2 linked regions of the Callithrix jacchus genome follow. The protein of the gene in region 1 interacts with the protein of each later gene in a pairwise test. Links are inferred from orthologs where the notes say so. Each region holds a gene or a part of one and is shown on either strand. Other genes may lie near its edges.

Evidence for each region.
Region 2: the proteins of PLIN1 (region 1) and ABHD5 interact in a protein complementation assay, tested with the Homo sapiens proteins (3 studies listed by BioGRID, with this or other methods). The link is inferred for Callithrix jacchus from reciprocal best matches to the Homo sapiens genes PLIN1 and ABHD5.

The regions. Positions count from the first base shown.
Region 1 is NC_133507.1:18,825,453-18,834,821, forward strand, and holds the end of PLIN1 (perilipin-1), read right to left. Parts: intron 8,349-9,369; coding exon 8,084-8,348; intron 7,773-8,083; coding exon 7,600-7,772; intron 6,397-7,599; coding exon 6,208-6,396; intron 5,802-6,207; coding exon 5,556-5,801; intron 4,447-5,555; coding exon 4,123-4,446; 3' UTR 3,007-4,122; downstream 1-3,006. UniProt on the Homo sapiens protein: Modulator of adipocyte lipid metabolism. Coats lipid storage droplets to protect them from breakdown by hormone-sensitive lipase (HSL). Its absence may result in leanness. Plays a role in unilocular lipid droplet formation by activating CIDEC.
Region 2 is NC_133516.1:26,469,202-26,478,557, reverse strand, and holds part of ABHD5 (1-acylglycerol-3-phosphate O-acyltransferase ABHD5), read right to left. Parts: intron 6,197-9,356; coding exon 6,042-6,196; intron 3,430-6,041; coding exon 3,318-3,429; intron 3,138-3,317; coding exon of another isoform or gene 3,122-3,137; exon of another isoform or gene 1,731-3,121; intron 1,707-1,730; exon of another isoform or gene 1,643-1,706; intron 1,357-1,642; coding exon 1,170-1,356; intron 584-1,169; coding exon 494-583; 3' UTR 1-493. UniProt on the Homo sapiens protein: Coenzyme A-dependent lysophosphatidic acid acyltransferase that catalyzes the transfer of an acyl group on a lysophosphatidic acid.

The sequences.
Region 1 (9,369 bases):
GATGGAGCTACCCTGATTGGTTTGCAATACCCATGTGGGACAGCATGGACATAGGGAAGTCCTCCACAATCTCCACAACCTCGAGCCTTTGTAGAGGAGAGGCTGGCCCACTGATTGTGTATCACAAAGGACCATCATTCAGATACCAAGCATCTGCCTGTCGGATGCCAGGAGCTGTGCCATTTCCTCTGATAGATAATTCAATTAAGGAGAAACTAAAAGCTCAAGCAGTTGGGAAGAGCAGATGAAACCGTAGTGTTCTGTGACATACTGTGGAATGTCACCATTGGCCCCAAATATTCTAAATCGGTCGCCGTCCTGAGCAAGAACGACACAGAGCAGCCTGCCGCCATGATCACCAGAAAGAATCATATTAGACCCTGAAAATGTGAAGAAGCAGAAAACTGAACTTGGATCTTCATGTGTGTAAAATGTAACAAAAGGTGATATTGATTGATGAAACATCGTGTTTAAGAGGTACAATTCTGGGCCGTGCACGGTGGCTCACACCTGTAATCCCACCACTTTGGGAGGCCAAAGAGGGTGGATCACAAGGTCAGGAGATCGAGACCAGCCGGGCCAACATGGTTAAATCCCCTCTCTACTAAAAATACAATAATTAGCTGGGTGTGGTAATGCATACTTGTAGCCCCAGCTTCTCAGGAGGCTGAGGCAGGAGAATCACTTGAACCCAGGAGGTGGAGGTTGTGTGAGCCAAGATCACACCACTGTACTCCAGCCTAGCAACAGGGCAAGACGCCATCTCAAAAAAAAAAAAAAAAAAGAGGTACAATTCTGGGCCAGGCAAGGTGGCCCAGGTCTGTAAACCCAGCACTCTGGGAGGCCAAATCAGGCAGATCCCTTCAGCCCAGGAGTTTGAGACAAGCCTGGGCAACAGGGCAAAGCCATTTCTACAAAAAATACAAACATTAGACAGGCATGGTGGCATGGGCCTATAGTCCCAGCCACAAGGGAAGTTGAGGTAGGAAGATACTCTGGCTTGAGCCTAGCAGGTGGAGGCTGCAGTGAGCTTAGATGGTGCCACTGCACTCCAGCCTGCGTATACAATTCATTTAGAGAGAAACTCAAGGCTGAGTATGGTGGCTTACACCTGGAATCTCAGCACTCTGGGAGGCTGAAGCGGGAGGATAGCTTGAGATCAGGAGTTCAAGACCAGCCTGGGCAACATAGTGAGACTCAAGGTCAGGAGATTGAGACCATTCTGGCCAACATGGCGAAACCCCATCTCTACTTAAAAAAAAAAAAAAAAAAAAAAAAAAAATTAGCTGGACATGGTGGCATGTGGCTGTAATCCCAGCTACTGAGGAGAATGAGGAAGAGAAGAATCACTTGAACCAGGAAATCGGAGGTTGCAGTGAACCAAGATCGTGCCACTGCACTCCAGCCTAGCGACAGAGTGACTCCATCTCAAAAAAAAAAAAAGTGAAAAAAAAGAAGTGGGCTTTGTGAGCTGGAATGGAAGCCATTAGGTATTTCTCTGAAGGACCCTGGGCAACCCTATGTGAACTGAAGGTCTTTTGTAGGTCCTGAGCTACTGAAGATACTGAGTGTTGGGGGGCCTTACCAAAGTGATGCCTCCCAGAACAGAGGAAAGTCCCCCCTTGAGCCTAGAGCCAAGAAAGCAAATGTCTGCCATTTAGCGGAGCTACTTTGCCCTTGTTATTGTCCCAAACGTGTCCAAAATACAGAGAAGCAGCTTCAGTGTACCTTGCTGCCTATTCAAAAGGTTTCTAAGAGTAAAAAGAAACTTACAACTTACACTGTTTGCTTCCTGGGCTGTCCTATTCCATATTCGGCCTGCAGTCTTGCGCCCAGGTCCAGGGATGAGTGAGGGAGCTGGGCTGGCCAGCGGGCCTGTTGGCGGCCACAGCCCTCATGCGGCTGAGGAGGCAGCTTTCCTGCCTTCTGGAACACAGCCTAGCAGGAGGAGCCACGGGGCTGGCGAGGAGCAGATAACTAGGAACGTGGTTTCCGGAGCCCCAGGAAGAATGCAACCCGGGTGGGTGAGGCCCGGGACAGGCAGGAGTTTCTTTCTGCACATCCAGGCCCAAGGTCACTTTTCCAGCATCTGTCCATGGGAGCCCTGCCAGGGCTGTGCTGGGCTGTCTTCTCAGCCCTGTTAAATCAGCTTCTCAGAACGCCTCTTGCCAACTCCACCTTCCACACCCACCAGGGAACTGCTGGGTGTAGTTTATATCATGGAAGTAGGGTGCAGAGGGCCCATGGCTGGCCCAGGGGCCTGGCCATGTCTTCATGTGTGTGTCTACCAGCCTCTCTCCTGTCCCCATTCTTGCCATCCTCAGACTCCAAAACTGCAGATCAAGGCCCATGTCTCATTACACCAAAGATCTGCCAGGGCCCAGAGTCAGTTCCAGGAGTGGGGGCTTCCAGGGTGCAGCAGACTGAGAGCCAACAGCGTGGGTGCTTATGGGTCTGAGGGAAGCCTGTAGAAGATGAATATAAATATGTGGGTGTCAGGCCGGCTGCAGCGGCTCATGCCTGTAATCCCAGCACTTTGGGAGGCCAAGGAAGGTAGATCACGAGATCAGAAGTTCAAGACTAGCCTGGCCAACATGCTGAAACCCCATCTCTACTAAAAACACAAAAATTCGCTGGGTGTGGTGGCGCACACCTGTAACCCCAGCTACTTGGGAGGCTGAGGCAGAGAATCGCTTGAACCTGGGAGGCAGAAGTTTCGGTGAGCCAAGATTGCAGCATTGCACTCCAGCCTGGGTGACAGGGTGAGACTCGCCCCCCCCCAAAAAAATATACAGATGTCTAAAAGGACTGACCAAAGAGTCATAATTTTCTGTGCATATTTCTGAAGCTGCAGGTGAAAATAACTAGAAAAATAAGGTTTGGTTTGGAAGGCTACTCGGCGTTATCTAGCAATACTTGAAGTGCACATATTATTTCACTAGCATGTCATGGTTACAAGTTACACACTTATCATATATATACATATCCACACATGTACACTAGACATTTTGGTCAGGACATTTATTATAGCACTGTTTGCAGTAGCAATAAAAAGAAAAAAAGGAAAGGACTTAAAAGTCCATCGTTAGGGAACTAGTTAAATTAAACAAGGCATATCCATACTACGCAGTAGTTATTATGCGGCCATCGAAAAGAGCGAGTGGGATTTATGATGTGATACATAAATCTCTCCAAGCTGAGTTATTAAGTGAAAAAAGCAGGCTAATTCGAAGGCAAGCAGGAAGTGCAGACACGTGCCTGCAGGGGCATAGCCCATAACCACGGGCACACATGAGAGCGGCACCATAACCACGGGCACACATGAGAGCGGCACCATGCTGGTTTTTATGGAGGGGAACATGGGGGCTCAGGGAGAGAGACACACACCCTTTTGCAATGTATGAATTTTATAATTGTATGAATGTATTGTCTAGATTTATCAAATATTAACATTCCTGTTCTGTGGCTATAAAGTCTATATATATGGTCACCATTTTCCTTCCCCAGCATCTGGGGGGCATCAAGAGAGTGACTACGCAGGTGAAGACAGTGATGATGCCAATGGAAACGTGGCTTCGAGCAAGCCTCGGGCTCTGCAGAGCACAGGCCTGGGACCCAGCCTATGAAGGGGCGGGGACTCAGAAAGTGACACTGGAATTATGAATAATCACGCAAGAGCTTTTGCATCTGATTATTCCCTTCAAAGTAGTCTGCTAGGAGCCTCGATCGATCGCCAGAGGATCTCTGAGTTCAGTGCTAAGAATGTGTCAAAACCTCTGTTTGGACCTTAGGGTGGTGACCAGAGCTACTCATTTGTGGCAAAGGTTGATCCACAGAGGCAGAATCTGAATTTTGAAAACGGTCAAATGTCTTTCGGCCACACGTTTGGTTAAAGAGATGAAAAACCAACGGAGGCCATTTCTCTTTTAGTTCAGAGCAGGCTGTGGCTCTGGTGTCCCTTAAAAACTGGCTCTGAGGGTGAAGCGCCAGAAAGATGCTAAGAAAGTGTGTGCCTCGGCAGCCGGGGGATGCAGCGGGGTCCCAGGGGCTGATTTGGAAGAGGCAGCTGGCCCGGGGCTGCGCGGGTTGTGTGTGCGGAGGGTCGAGGTCTGGGCGCGCGGCTCAGCTCTTCTTGCGCAGCTGGCTGTACTGCGCGCGGCCCAGGATGGGCTCCAGGACGCTGGGGCGAAAGAGGCTGTCGCTGACCCTGCGCTTCGGCTTCTCCCGGGGCACTGCCGGGAACGCGCGCGGCGCAGCGGGAGAGTCAGCCTCGTCCTCCGGGCCGGGGCTCCGCGCGCGGCGAAGGTTCCCGCGGGACTGGGCGGGGCGCGGGGCGGGCTCAGGGCCGGGGGACTGCGCTCCCGACGCCCTGCGCTCCGTCTCCGGGGGCGGGTGGTCGATGTCCCGGAATTCGCTCTCCGGCTCCATCAGCGACAGCCTGGGGAGCTGGAACCCGGCAATCTACTTAGAGCACCAGCTCGGCCCCATCCCTGCGCCCCGGACCCACCGCCGCTTCCCCGGGCCTGGTAGCCGCCTTAGAGCCCCGGACCCACCACCCCTGCTCAGCCCCGTAGTCGCGTGACAGCCCCGGCCTGGCCCTGGTCCCTGAGCCTCCGACCCACTGCCCCTGCCCAGCCCGGTCCCTCGATTGTTCCCCAGGGGGGCGGCCATCCGGAGAGCACAGGCTGGGGGGCGGGACGGTAGTTTGTTGGCACCGGGGAAAACCCCGAGGTCCTGCCCACCCTGAGCCTCTCCACGGACCAGGCCACTCAGGCAAGCCAGGCCTCCCAGAGTTTCAGGATCCCTGGGCCTCCCTCCGGGGAACGCTCAGTGGGACGTCATCAGCTTTCCTAACCCTTCCTTGCAGCCCGCACAGTGACCTGGTCCGGGCTCGCCTTCCTGTGGCTGGTCCGGGCGCAGGGCAAACAAGCCGGCTGCTAAGATCCCTGGCCTGCTGCTTGTTGGAGAGAATGACTGAGAAACCCACCCTCTATGGGTGCCTTCTGCCCTGACCAGCCCTGCTCCGGCCTGCCAGCCTGTAACTTGCTCTGGAAAGGGGCTCCCAAAGGGATGGCATTGGTATCCTGGGGGGGTTTTCCTACTGGTGACAGGTGATAGAATTGCTTGGGGCCTGCTGCTGTCTCCTGAACTCATGGCCCACCCCTAGAGTGCCCTGGAAGCCTCTCCAACCCTTCCCAGGCCTCAGCATGCAAACCTGCCCCAAACCTGTCCCAAATCTGCCCTAAACCTGCCAAGCCCTTCAGTTGGGAGTAGAGGGGTGAGGGTGAGCCACTGGGATCTCAGGGCTGAGGCAGGAGACTCCTACCAGCAAGTGGGAGGGGCCGAGGGGAGGAGGCCTCAGGCCAGGGCTGTGGGCCTCTATCCTCCTGGGGCTGGGAGAGGCGCAGTATGTCGACATGTTGGCAGGGCACTGAGGCCTAAGGAGGGTCTCCAGAGGGAAAGGACGGGTCTGCAGCCCCTTCAGTCAGATCTACTTTATCTGCCCAGTCCAGCCCCCCTTGGGACACTAACAGCTTACCAGGGGTGGGACTCACCGGCACGTAGTGCACCACTGTGTCCACCACGTTGTCAGTAACGCCCTTCAGGGCATCTGATAGCGACATGGCCCTCCCCTTGGTGGAGGTGACGGCCTGGGCTGGGGTGAGGTGCAGCACCCTCCCTGCCATGCCCAGCACAGCTGCAGGTGCCCATGTAACAGCCGAGATGGTGGTCTGGAGGGCCTTCTGCAGGGTGTGTGCCACATTGCCCAGGAGGCCCTGAGGGCCTGGCAGGGCTGCTACCTGGGGGCCAGAGCAGGGTCAGTGCCTCCTGCGGCGACTCCCCTGACCCTTCTCGCCCCACCAGCCCCAGAGCTAGAGGGGAAACACACAGGAATACCAAATGTACACAACTTGGGGCCTATTCTGCCACCAGAGCGTGGCTTTGGGCAGGTCACATCCCCTCTCTGAACCTCTGTTTCTTCTCCTGCAAAACAGGACAGTCATCTCTGCCCTGCCGTTTACAGAGTGTTGGAAGGGTCAGCTGAGAGAATGGCACAGAAGTCCCTCATCGACTGGGCATTTGAGGGTGGGGTGAAGGGTGCTGCACCCACCTGCCATACCCCTGCATCTGGGGTACTACCCTATGCCTCTGCTTCTCACCCCGTCTGTGGGCTGGGGGACCTTGAGGCTCCCACTCTCCCCTCACCTCACTGAACTTCTTCTCTTCAGTCTCTGATTCTTCCTCCTCCTCTGTCTCCTCTCCTTCGGTGTCTGTCTGGTCCTCACGATCCTCCTCCTGGGTGGCAAGGCTGTGCAGCCAGGGCACCCGAACCTCGCTCTTCCGCCGGGACACCACTTCCATGGCCACTGACGCACCCCACTGGGCCAGGCTGCTCTAAGGGAGGGTGGCAGCACACCGCTGGCTCCACTGCCCCTGCTGAAAGCCAGGAGCCCCAGCAGCCGAAGCCCTTCCCCTCAAGGGTCAGGACCAGGGTGGTGAGCAGGGCTCAGCCCCAGCAGACTTTTCTTGAAACTTTTTGTTAACTGGTAATCTACATACACTAAAGTGCACACATCTTATTGTAAGCTCTGTGAACTTTTATAAAAACACACCTAGGCCTGGCGTGGTGGCTCACGCCTGTAATCCCAGCACTTTGGGAGGCCAAGGCAGGTGGATCACAAGGTCAAGAGATCGAGATCATCCTGGCCAACAGGTGAAACCCCATCTCTACTAAAAAAAAAAAAAAAATTAGCTGGGCATGGTGGCTCACGCCTGTAGTCCCAGCTATTTGGGAGGCTGAAGCAGGAGCAGTGCTTGAATCTAGGAGGTGGAGGTTGCAGTGAGCCAAGCTCGTGCCACTGCACTCCAGCCTGGTGCCTGGCGACAGAGCGAGACTCCATCTCAAATTAAAAAAAACACACCTGTGTAACCACCAGAGATCAAGAAAGAGACCACCATTTTCTTTTTCTTTTTCCTTTTTTTTTCTTTTTTTGAGATGGAGTCTCGCTTTGTCACCCAGGCTGGAGTGCAATGGCGCGATCTCGGGCTCACCGAAACCTCCGCCTCCTGGGTTCAAGCAATTCTCCTGCCTCAGCCTCCTGAGTAGCTGGGATTACAGGCACGCACCACCATGCCCAGCTAATTTTTTGTATTTTTAGTAGAGATGGGGTTTCACCATGTTGACCAGGATGGTCTCGATCTCTTGACCTCGTGATCCACCTGCCTCGGCCTCCCAAAGTGCTGGGATTATGGGCATGAGCCATCGCACCCGGCCTTATTTTTTTTTTTTCTGGTTTTAGTTTCTTACTAAAATTCCTTATGAAAACAATCCAGCCTATTTCTGCTAAAATACAGAGAGGTTGGGGTGGGGAGTGGTGGGGAGTGAACAGTCCCGCTCTAGCAAGGCAGGCCTGGTCTCAGCTAACCTCCTGTCCTTCTCTTTCCCTGTGGTCTGGAAGGCTGCCCTCCATCCCTGTCAAGGCCTCTTGTCCTTAGAACTCAAGCCCCAGCCCAGGATGGAAGACAGAATGTTCTCAGGACAGGAAGGGGTGGTAGGTGGGTGGTCAGGGGCCTGGGAGGCACAGGGCAGACACTCACCAGGGGCGCCACACCAGGGATCCACATGGCCAGGGTGTGGCCCTGCTCCAGGGCCCGGGCCACGGTCTGCATGGTGTGTCGAGAGAGGGTGTTGGTCAGAGCCCCAACCCTGCGCACAAGGCTTGGCTTGGCCTTGGGAGGCTTCTGGGCTTGCTGGTGTCCAGGAGCAGGGACTGGGTAGGGATATGGGGGAAAAGAAGAGAAGATGGATCAGAGAGGGGCCAGGGAGATCTGGGTCATGGCTAGCGCTGGAAAGCAGGTGTTCTGGTCCCACCACAAACTCACTGGTGATTTCCACAGCTCACTTTCCCTCTTTACTGATGGGGTGGGGGTGGGGTGAATTATTAGGAGTCCATCTGAAAATCCCACTGGCCTTCCCTATTCCAGAGCAGGGGCTGGATAAGCCCTGCCACCTCCTGCTGAATCCCAGGCCATGTGTGTGACAGCAACTCACTCCCAGGCCGAGCCTCCGAACGATGGGTACCTGACTCTGTCTTGTCTGGCGGGAGGAGGTACTCCACCACCTTCTCAATGCTGCCCAAGGCCAGGTCGGCCCCTTCGGAAGCCAGCTGGCCAGCTCGGGTGTTGGCAGCAAATTCCGCAGTGTCTCTGGCCACCCCCCAGGCGAGCTCGCACCCAGTCAGAGCGGCCCCCAGGACCTTGTCTGAAGTGCTGGCGATGGGCACGCTGATGCTGTTTCTGGCGCTGCGGAGGCGGGTGGAGATGGTGTCCTTCAGCTCAGAAGCAATCTGGGGGAGTAAGTGGGGTGTTAGGCATGCAGTCTGGCAGATCCTACAATGGCCACCCTTTTGGGGCCTGGCACCCTGAGCCTAGCTCCCAGGAAGGCCTCATCTAAAGGCCCAGGGAGCTGGTGCTGATATTTGGGTACCCGGAATTAAGCTGGGCTCTAAAGGGAGAGGGCACCCACCTGCCCTGTGCCACCTACTTGGTCTCCTGGCTCCTTCACACCGCACCACTGTCTGTCAAGATCCCTCCCATCCTGCGAGGATGACCCCAAAGCTCCTCTTTGGTGGCCCGTGTCCTGACACCCTCGTGCTCACAGGACTCTCCTCCCTCCTTTCCTCAGAACACGCCATTTCTATTGATTTACAGCTGGGCTTGATCTTCACTGGTTCTGCACTGAAATAATCTGACTTTTCTTCACTATCCTGAGAGTTCCTTTGTGACAAAAACCTTGCCCTTTTTCTGGAAAAAAGGGGAGCAGAGAGCACAGACCTCACAGCTGAACAGACCTGCTCTCACGTGGTCTCCAATTAAGGCTGTGTGGCTGTGGGAAGACACTGGTTTCCTCTCTGTAAAGTGGAGGTAATGATCCCTATCCCAGAGGCTTGATAAGAGGGTTCAGTGAGGGCTTGATTAGGCATAGGCAATGGCCCCGGGCATCGGGTAGGGCTCGGTATGTGTTCGTGGGAAGGGTAGACAGTTGGTCAGTGAGATAGGTGAGGTCAGAGACTGAAGCTTATCTCCCAGAAGCAGCAAAAATGGGCCTTTATCATAGCAACTACCCAACGAATATGTAGCCACATAAAGTGACATTCAGTCTCATGGTCCATAAAATGTTGGCTCTTGAGGACCTGGGATGACACTCCTGGGATCTTCATGAGTGTGACTTGTGATCTTAGGCAGCTGTAGTCGCCAAGTGGTCCAGGGCAGACTATGGACCCCAGACCCCAGGGCATGGTATTGGGAGTAGTGGGAATGCCCTGAGCATCTGTTTGAGTTTGCCTCTGGGATTGTGCCTGCTGGTCC
Region 2 (9,356 bases), on another chromosome or scaffold:
CTGACAAATTTTGACATAAAAACACATTGAATTCAGATTATCAGTTATTAGACACAATAAATACTTGATTAAGAAGACAAAATAAAGTGCACCTTTACAGTATAACATTAGAGACTCAGAAATCACTTCCAAAATTGGCAATATAGATTGCAATATAGAAAGTATCTGACTAGCAAAGTTAGATTAAAAAATTTTCAGCTGAAAAATTACAGTTTTTCAGTACATCAAAGGGACAAACAACCTTTTATTTGAAGGTATTAAATTTAGAGACTTGTATATTTCAATTTTGTGTAGGAGAAAGGAAAGCCATTCTTCTAGAAGGCACTAACTGGTTTAAATGTGCAAGTGAATTCATAAAGAAAACACGTGCAAAGTATAGTCAAGAAGGCTGTCTGGTTCTTGTGTTGTATTCATTACTCTTCAGCATAGACTATGCATTATTGCTGAACAATTCTATCAGTCACCAGGTTTTCCCGTAAGAGCTTTAGCGTGTTCAGTCCACAGTGTCGCAGATCTCCTTTACTTTCTGGTTGAATTCTTCTGGTTGATCTGCATATACATAATGTCCTGCCCCAAGAATAGCCTGGATAAGAAAAAGTATTCAGATGGTTAGTGAGTAAAAGCATTTAATAAAACACAATGATATATACTCAAAGACACTTAGTAATAAAAGTGAGAGCCACTATATTTAAATAAAACACATGATAAAAAGTAACAATAATCTATAGTAAATGTTAAGTATTTCCATTAAAAGGATCTGAGAATATAAAAATCTACTGAATCTTAGTACAATTTTAATATGCAAAAAACACTAAATTGACCACTAATAAATTGCCAACAGAGAAACTAAAAAAAGTGAGAATGTGCTGCCTTGTAAGGTGGGAATTACCTGAGCTACGGGACTAGTACCTCTGTCCATTTCTCCTAATGCTGTGGTTCTAGGGACAGGAAAGTTCACTCAGAAAGGTGGTTCACTGTTTGCACATGAAGATGTGTGCAGTCCAAACCCTAACCCTCACCCATCACATGTGGTATCAGGCCCCTGATTGAGGCTGCAGGTATAGCTCAGATGACCTGCAATACGAGTATGACCTAAAAACCTCTTTTAAGAAAGATAATAAAACAGACTTCACCTGTATCTAAAAACCCAAATCAAGCCACACACTTACTATTGTCTTCACATATGAATGTGGTCGTAATGACTGGATGCTGGTGCCAGAATTGCCATCTATGCAGGATCGGGCGCCAAAGATCACTGAAACTGGAATGTCAGGGTGCATTTTACCAATTCGCTGGAGCATTGGCCTTTTTGCCCATCCATAAGGAATAGTCATATTCTTGAAAGCTGTCTCACCACTTTAATGACAAGGAAAAATCACAATGTATGATTTTTGGGAATGAGCATGCACTGCACTGTCACTTCTATCAAAACACATTCATACTTAGCTTTTCCAGCACTTAAGAAAATCCTCAGCTTAAATAGAAAATAATTTACAAGACAGTTTAAGGAACAAGTTAGATAAGCAAGGCTGCTGTATGAACTAGCTGATTAAGTTTTCTTCTAAATCAAAATGTACAACCCCAATTCTCTATTATTAAATTATTTATTGTGGAGATAGCAGCTAAAAATATGTATTTTCACCTTTATTTAAACTGATGTAGAAAGAAGGTAGCTTATCCCCAGGTTCATGGCACCAGCATTTCACCTGCAATGCCAAAACCATTATCAAGTTAAGAAGAAACTCAGATGATATATTCTTGGGAACTCTCAGGATAGTCTATTTTGCTGTTACTCTGCTATTCTTATAGAACTAGACATCATTCTAACTTGCCTTTTATGAAGAATTCAAGTCTCACCACAAGAAAGGTAACAAACTAGGACTACATGAACACATGTAATCATGAAATGAGAGCACGCGAAGAGTAAAACTTAGACTGATCAGGAAAATGAATGAGGTTCCTGGGGCAGACCCCTAAAACAAAACTGTTGGAACAAGTCAATAAAGTGTGTAGACCGAATCCACCAGACCTGACTGCCTAGCAAGTCACAAAACCTCAATCTCTTGAGGACCTTGAACCTCCAGCCTCCCTAACTCTTGGCAGAGAACCTCTAACCTACTTTATTAAAAAGACTGAAACTACAGCTACACCTATAAATAGCTGCCATGGCCTCAATCTTTTTAATAAAGTAGGTGTACATATTTTCTGCCAAAAGTGAGGGAGGAAATAAAAGGGAGGGAGGCTGTCTCTGCAACTCGCCGCTTAGCCTTTCATCCAAACCTCGGGTCTTAGAAAGGATGAGAAAGTATGCTCCATGGCCCACCTATACAGAATCACCAGAGTATTTGTTAGAGATGCAACCCAGAAATGCTAATCTGTGTCTTAGAAATAAGCCTCAGGAGTCACATTTTAACAAGCACCCCCAATAATTCCAGGACACAACATAGCATGAGAACTGTGGCCCTCATCTTTGCACTCTATTCTTGATGCTCCTCCCAGAAACTCAAGGGCCTTATCATTCAGCATCCTCCTAGCTCCCCACTATCATCAGGCTCTGTTTTCTCCACTGGTACTTTTCACCCAATATTCATAAGTCATATTTTAAAGAAAAAAATACATTTGACCCTCTTGCTCCCTCTGGCTACTATGCTCGATTCTTTCTCTCCTTCTAATCACTGTCAAAATACAGGCAGAATCCTTCACTTACTCCTCACCCTCTGCAGCTGCATTTCTAATGCTGACCTAAAGATGTTTAGAGTTGTTCAGGAGTACAACCATCGAATGAACTTGAAAAATACTACACAGCATCTCCCATTCACTTGGGAGATTCAATACCCTTTGGTATAGTAAAGGTTCTAAGAGGATTAATAGTAAAGACAACCACTTACTTTTGTTTAATCCAGCACCTTTCTCTCTCTCTCTCTCTCTTTTTTTTTTTTTGATGAACTATTTATATTCAGTTTGGGAAATACTTCTTTAAATGTGAAATTCCTTAACTCTCAACTCAAACCATCTCTTGGAGATGCCCAAGACCAATGCTTCCTCAACTTATCCATAAGAATTTTGGGGGAAGCGTGAACATCTTACTTTTTAATCTCCCATCAGAACTCAGCACATTGTTTTATACAGTAGGTACTCTAAGAATAGATGAATAAATTAAGACATATTAGACATTTTGTCCTTTTAAATTTAACTACTGATAAAAATCTTCTGAATCAGATATATTTTTTAAAAAATAGTATAAAACACACACACACACACACACACACACACACACATACACACACACAGAGTAAATTTAGACTCCTAACCCTCACCTTGGAGTTTGCACATTACAGTGGTAGATGTATTCTGTCACAGTATCATCCTCAAACATTGAAGAATACTTCCGTTTGAAATCAGGCCTTAAACGCTGCACTAGACTTAAACCTATTTAACAGGAAATTTAAAAATGTATAATTAACTTATCAACTAAATAATATAGAGTTTTAGTGCTTACCTGTGTAACGAGTGTTATGTGCACACATACCTACGAATACATATTGCAGGTGGGAAAAAGCACACATTCTGATAGGAGTCCTCCTAAAGTTCCCCAAAGAAATATTAATATAAAAATTAAAGAGTATTGTATTTTGACTTACAGATATGCTTTAGGGCCTCAAAAACATTTAAGTTAGAAGGCCAATGAGTAGCTCATACATAAAATTAATGTATTAACTTGTATTTCTTCTGTAATTATAACACATTAGCATCTAAATGAAGTAAATTGGTAATATGTAAATTGTTCTGTATGAAAATACATTCAGTTTCTTCCTGGGACACTAGCAAGACTCCCTGCTAAGGTCATCCATGGTGACACCCACAACCCCACTCTAGAAAAAGTCCAGGGCAAAGCCCCCAAGGGAAAGAGGATGAAGAACAGAAGCTTTCTTCTAGTCACAATTTTTCATTCTGAGGCCCCAGAGACTGAATGGCGTCCCTTTCTGCTGCCACTACCCCATGACTCCAGCAAGCCTTTACTTCTCTACTTGCCCTTTAATCCCATCTCTGAGGAATTATACAGCTCCACCAAGAAATTCTGTCATGAGCTGATTCTGTATCACCACCCCACGCCCAAGTGCAAGCAATAATGGGAGGCTGAGGGCATGGCTTTAAAGAGCCTCTCCTCGGTATCCTCCCTTGCCCATCACTGTCTCCTAACTTCTCTTCATACTTTACTTTTCCCATAATTGTTATTTGTGTACCTGTGATCTAGTAAAATCCATTTATATTTCAGGACTATAAAGACTAAATGAAGCTCTTAAGTAGTTTACCAGAAGAGGACCAGGCACATAAGGAGTGGCTCTACTGGGGAGGGCTTCAAGACTGCAGATGGCAAAATGTGCCATCTGTAAGAGTACTGAGGGAGTAAAGTGTGGTCACCAATTCAACCCCCCTACCCTCCTCTAAGTCCTGCAGTTCCACTGCTCTCCCAATCCAAAGAGAAGGCACTAGGACCAAAAGGGGTCAGGGCTGGGCAAAGGGGAACAGCATTTGTAGTCACCTGCATGATAGTTAATCCCATACCCTCATCCACACCCCCATGCCTCTTCTCTTTCTTGCTAACAGAATCCATCTTTTTTTTTTTTTCTGAGACAGGGTCTTGCTCTGTTGCCCAGGCTGGAGTATAGTGGCATGCTCTCAACTCACCATAACCTCCACCTCCCGGGTTTGAGCAATTCTCATGCCTCAGCCTCCCGAATAGCTGCGATTACAGGTGTGTGCCACCACGCCTAGCTAATCGTTTTATATTTTTAGTAGAGATGGGGTTTGCCACGTTAGCCAGGCTAGTCTTGAACCCTGGCCTCAAGTGATCTGCCAACCCCATCCTCCCAAAGTGCTGGGATTACAGGTATGAGCCATGGCACCTAGCTAGAACCCATCTTTTCTATAGTATCAATTAGGCAGCAATGTGCCCAGGAAAGCAGGCCCTGGGAACAAATCATGACTGGTCAGTCATAGAAAATTTTTCTTTGCTGGTGGAAGGACTAGGAGTGGAGAGAGACACAATGGGAGGTCGGCTGGGGCCTTCCAGGGAGAACTTTCTTCCCTGACAAAGCATTATGGAGAGAAGGACCATTTTCCATGCTTTTCTTTCTTTTTGCTCAGGGTGCTGTTTTGTGAGATGGTGCTTAATGCCATGGCAGGCATCAAACCCCGTGAGAAAAAAGGTCAAGAAAATCACAGACACAGACCCAAACTTTAACACCAATGAGCAAACAACTAGAACAAGTGCTAAAACCTATTTCCAGATTGCTTATTAGGGAAATAATAAAAGGCCTTAAATTTAAGCCACTGGGTATTCAATTACTTACAACTAAAAGTACTCCAAACTCATACAAGTTGTATGGGAGAAAGGCCGAGGGTCGAACCATCATTATCTGTGACAGTGAGGGAAGAAAATTCCCATGGCTATAGGGCTAAGGCAGAGCAGCTGAGAGTGAAATAAAAGTCAATCAGGAACTAAACACGGGTACCTCAAAATATGACCAGAAATATGTATCAGGAGTCTCCAAAACGTTGTGGAAAAAATACCTTTATCTTTCCAACATTCTGGATAAGGGAAATCTGTGAGTGTGGTGGTATCTTTTATCCCCAGGGGATCTCCCAAATGGTATCATCAATTGGCCAAATGCTCTCCAATGCTCACCAACAGGGTAACATGCTACACTTCTCCCAGGCCCTGGGCTAGCAGAGCTTCTTATATACTCCCCAAAACACTCTGCTTGCCTGGCTTTTCTCAGAGTATTCAGGACTGACTAACGGCATCCTCAGCATTCCCCTCCTTCTCGCTTTACTAATTACTTATTTCAATATAAAGACTCCCCTTTGAGGAAAAAAGCCTAGTTGTATTCCTCTTTGTGCAAGACATGGTACTTATTAAAGGAAGAGGATAAAAAGGGTTCAGGCTTGTTTGTTTTTAAGATTTTGACTAATGATAGTGAATACTCCTCCACTGATAATCTATAAACATTTTACTTTCTTAGGACATAAGCACTCACCAAAGGGTCCTGCAATCCTTAGGCCAGCTAAAGGGTTAAAAGGAGTCAATATTGCTCCCAAGGCTCTGATCCAAACTGGAATTGGTCTGTCTTGATTAGCAAGGTCTGGTCGTTCAGGGAAACCCCAAGGCTCCACTAAAATGAGATGATTAACCCTGTTGGGGGAAAGAAGAAATTTAAGTTCATTTGGTAAAACCACCCTAAGACTATAAAGAGCTAACATGATTTATAAAATAAAGGTAGAGCAAACCACCTTCAAAAACCTTCATGTTAAAGACTAGTGGCTAAAGAGTCATATCATGCTCTTATTCTGTGTAAACTTATGTAGATCACTAGCCACTCAGAAAAATCCAAAGATTCTGTGTATGTCAAGGTTGACAAAGCAAAAACGGCTAAGATCAGTATCACATTCTTTTATTTTTATGTATTTATTTTTTTTGAGACGGCGTTTCACTCTTGTTACCCAGGCTGGAGTGCAATGGCGCAATCTCGGCTCACCGCGACCTCCGCCTCCTGGGTTCAAGCAATTCTCCCGCCTCAGCCTCCCGAGTAGCTGGGATTATAGGCATTCTTATAAAATAGCCTCATATACCAACAACCATCATCTCCCATGAATCAAACATCCTAAAAATTTAAGAGAAGTTAAGGACTTAAAGTGGGTTCAAAAGTGCTTTAAATGAACTTTTCATAAACATAAAGATAATGTAATATGGACTGAAAACACTCCCTATTTTTGGATTCTAGAAATGTTGAAAAGGAACATGTCTGTCTACCTTACCCATGATAACACGCTATACTGACATTAGATTCTGTTTCCAATACTTTCCCAATTTTCTCCTTCATTGACCAAGAGATAGAAAATCTTCAGTACCACTTCATATAAAATTATTTCATATTGTTAATAATTCTAATATTTCCATCTTATGAAACTTCTTCCCATTGAAGAAAAACCGGAACTATCAGCAGTACTTCCACGTAGCTGCATCATGCTTTATACATCATAAAGATTCTAAACGAAGTACAAAGATCCTTCTGATACAAAACAATGTTCAGCTGTAACCAAACCAGCCAAGAAATGCCAGCCAAAAAATCTCCCAAGGATAAACTGACAATGATTCTAAAGTCCTTTCCTAAGTTATAACTGAAACAGAAAGGCAAAGAAACAAAAACATGGGCACAGATGGTATTATTCCTCATATAAAATCTATTCAATTATTGTCAGTATACATAATGAGTTAGTAACAGGTCCATACTCTGATTGCTTTTTTTTTTTAAGACAGAAAGCTTTAGAGCACAGAGCTCTATGATCCCTTGGAGAATACTGGGTCCAATCTTTCATCTCAGACCAGAAGGAAGCTAAGATATACTACGTGACCTGCTCTGGTATATAACATTAGTTCATGTAGAACTAAGGCTGAAACCCACATTTCTCTACTCCAGCATGCTAACAGATGCCGATAAGCAATTTTCTAAACAGGCTAATCAACATAAGATAGACATATTAGTAAAGGTAAAAATTAACCTTTACCAACTCTCAAGGCTAGTCCTAATATTATATTCTAGATTTCATAGCATTGAGAACATGGTAGAATATAAAGATGTATGAAGATACGTGATAAATGAGTTTCATATAATTATGAAGTGTACCTTCACAGTCTAAAAATTTCATATGAGAATATTTTCTAATTGCGTATCAGAAAGAGGTTGGAAATGAGTGTTTTGCTTTGTTTTTTAATGGCAAAAACTATCTCTTATATTTTGACCACCTAATGAATTCTTTCTATTACAGCCCACAATAAGATCTGGGGAAGGGGAAGGGAGAGGCTTAACAGAAGTATGAGTGGAACTAACAAGACAGACACCTAGTTGAAAGCAGCAAAGATTCATGTTAAGAAACGACCACTATTTTTCACTGACTTACCTCCTAAAGAGAAAAATGAACTCTTTATTAAAACATACCCTACCCTAAACAAGTGTTAAATTTTTGTCATAAATTTGTTAATGAATCTTGCTCTGTCTGCTCTAGGCTCTTTCCGACCCGCTAACTCAAAAACAAGGAGGACAAAGAAAAACTTGACAGAGTCTCATCTATCTCTAGGTAAGTGACTGTTTTTGCCTTACTTTTGGCTTGCCTTTAAAATATGATCTTCAAAATTTCATCCCTAGGTGAAAATGCCAGTTTAACAAATTATGCAAAGTATAGATACTAAGGTAGATGACCTCTTTTGTTTCTTTTTGAAAAGGAGTAAACTGTCCCTACAATTGCTCAATTCTATGTTTTCATAACCTAGCATGATGCTCAGCACACGAAGGATGCTTGGTAAACATTTGGGTTAAAATGCTTTTCTACATTTTCTTTTGGTCCTAATCTATTAAGGATATACAAATTTTATAAAGCATAATCATAGCATAAGCATATCCAGCTGACTATTTCTAGATAACATCAGAACATCATTGCTATTTATTAATCTCATTATTGGGTAATAAAATCCATTTAGATGGTCAAGAACCAGTCTAGTTTTTTTTTTAAATAAAATTATATTGTTTGGAATAGAAAAATAAATCATAAGCATTGAATATTGGCCAAAAAATTGTATTAATATATGTATGTGTGGGTGTCTGAAACAAGTTTTGTGGGGTGATAGACTTGCATTTTTCTATTCCAAACAATACAGAAGGGCCATAGTCAAAAAAGTTTGAACACAGTTTTTTAAAACTTGAAAAATCTAAACTGTAGTTAACTGTAGTTATATATCATCTGCTTCTACTACATGTAAAGACCCCAGAAAATAATTTTCCTTATTTTTGGTCGTAAAGATTTTAAATAAGATAAACCATGCAAAGCACTCCGGTTGGTGGCTATCAAATGCTAAGTATTCAGTAAATGTAAGCTAGTTATAGTAGGGTGAATAGGAAGACTACAAGAGTAGAATTAATTCCAGGGAAGATGGAAAGACAGGCTTTTATTCTTCAGAAGAGCCTGATCACTGGTTAGTATAATGCTGCACCCAGACCAAGGTCCCAGGCTATCTTCTAACCTCCTCTTCTAGTAAAAGTATTATCTCCTCACTTGATAGGAGTTACTGGTTTTAATGTACATCTGAACTATTATAATTTATCTAAACCCTACTCTTTAATATTCCAGAGAGAGTTCCCTGCTGGGATTGTTCACATCTAGGGTAAAGAATGGGTCCAACCAGACAGCACATGTGAGTCATCCTTGTCAAGAATCAGAGGCTGGTTTAAACCACAGGAAAAACAAAGAACCAGCAGAACAAGAACAACAGAACAACCCATCAGTTTTGAAATATAAAA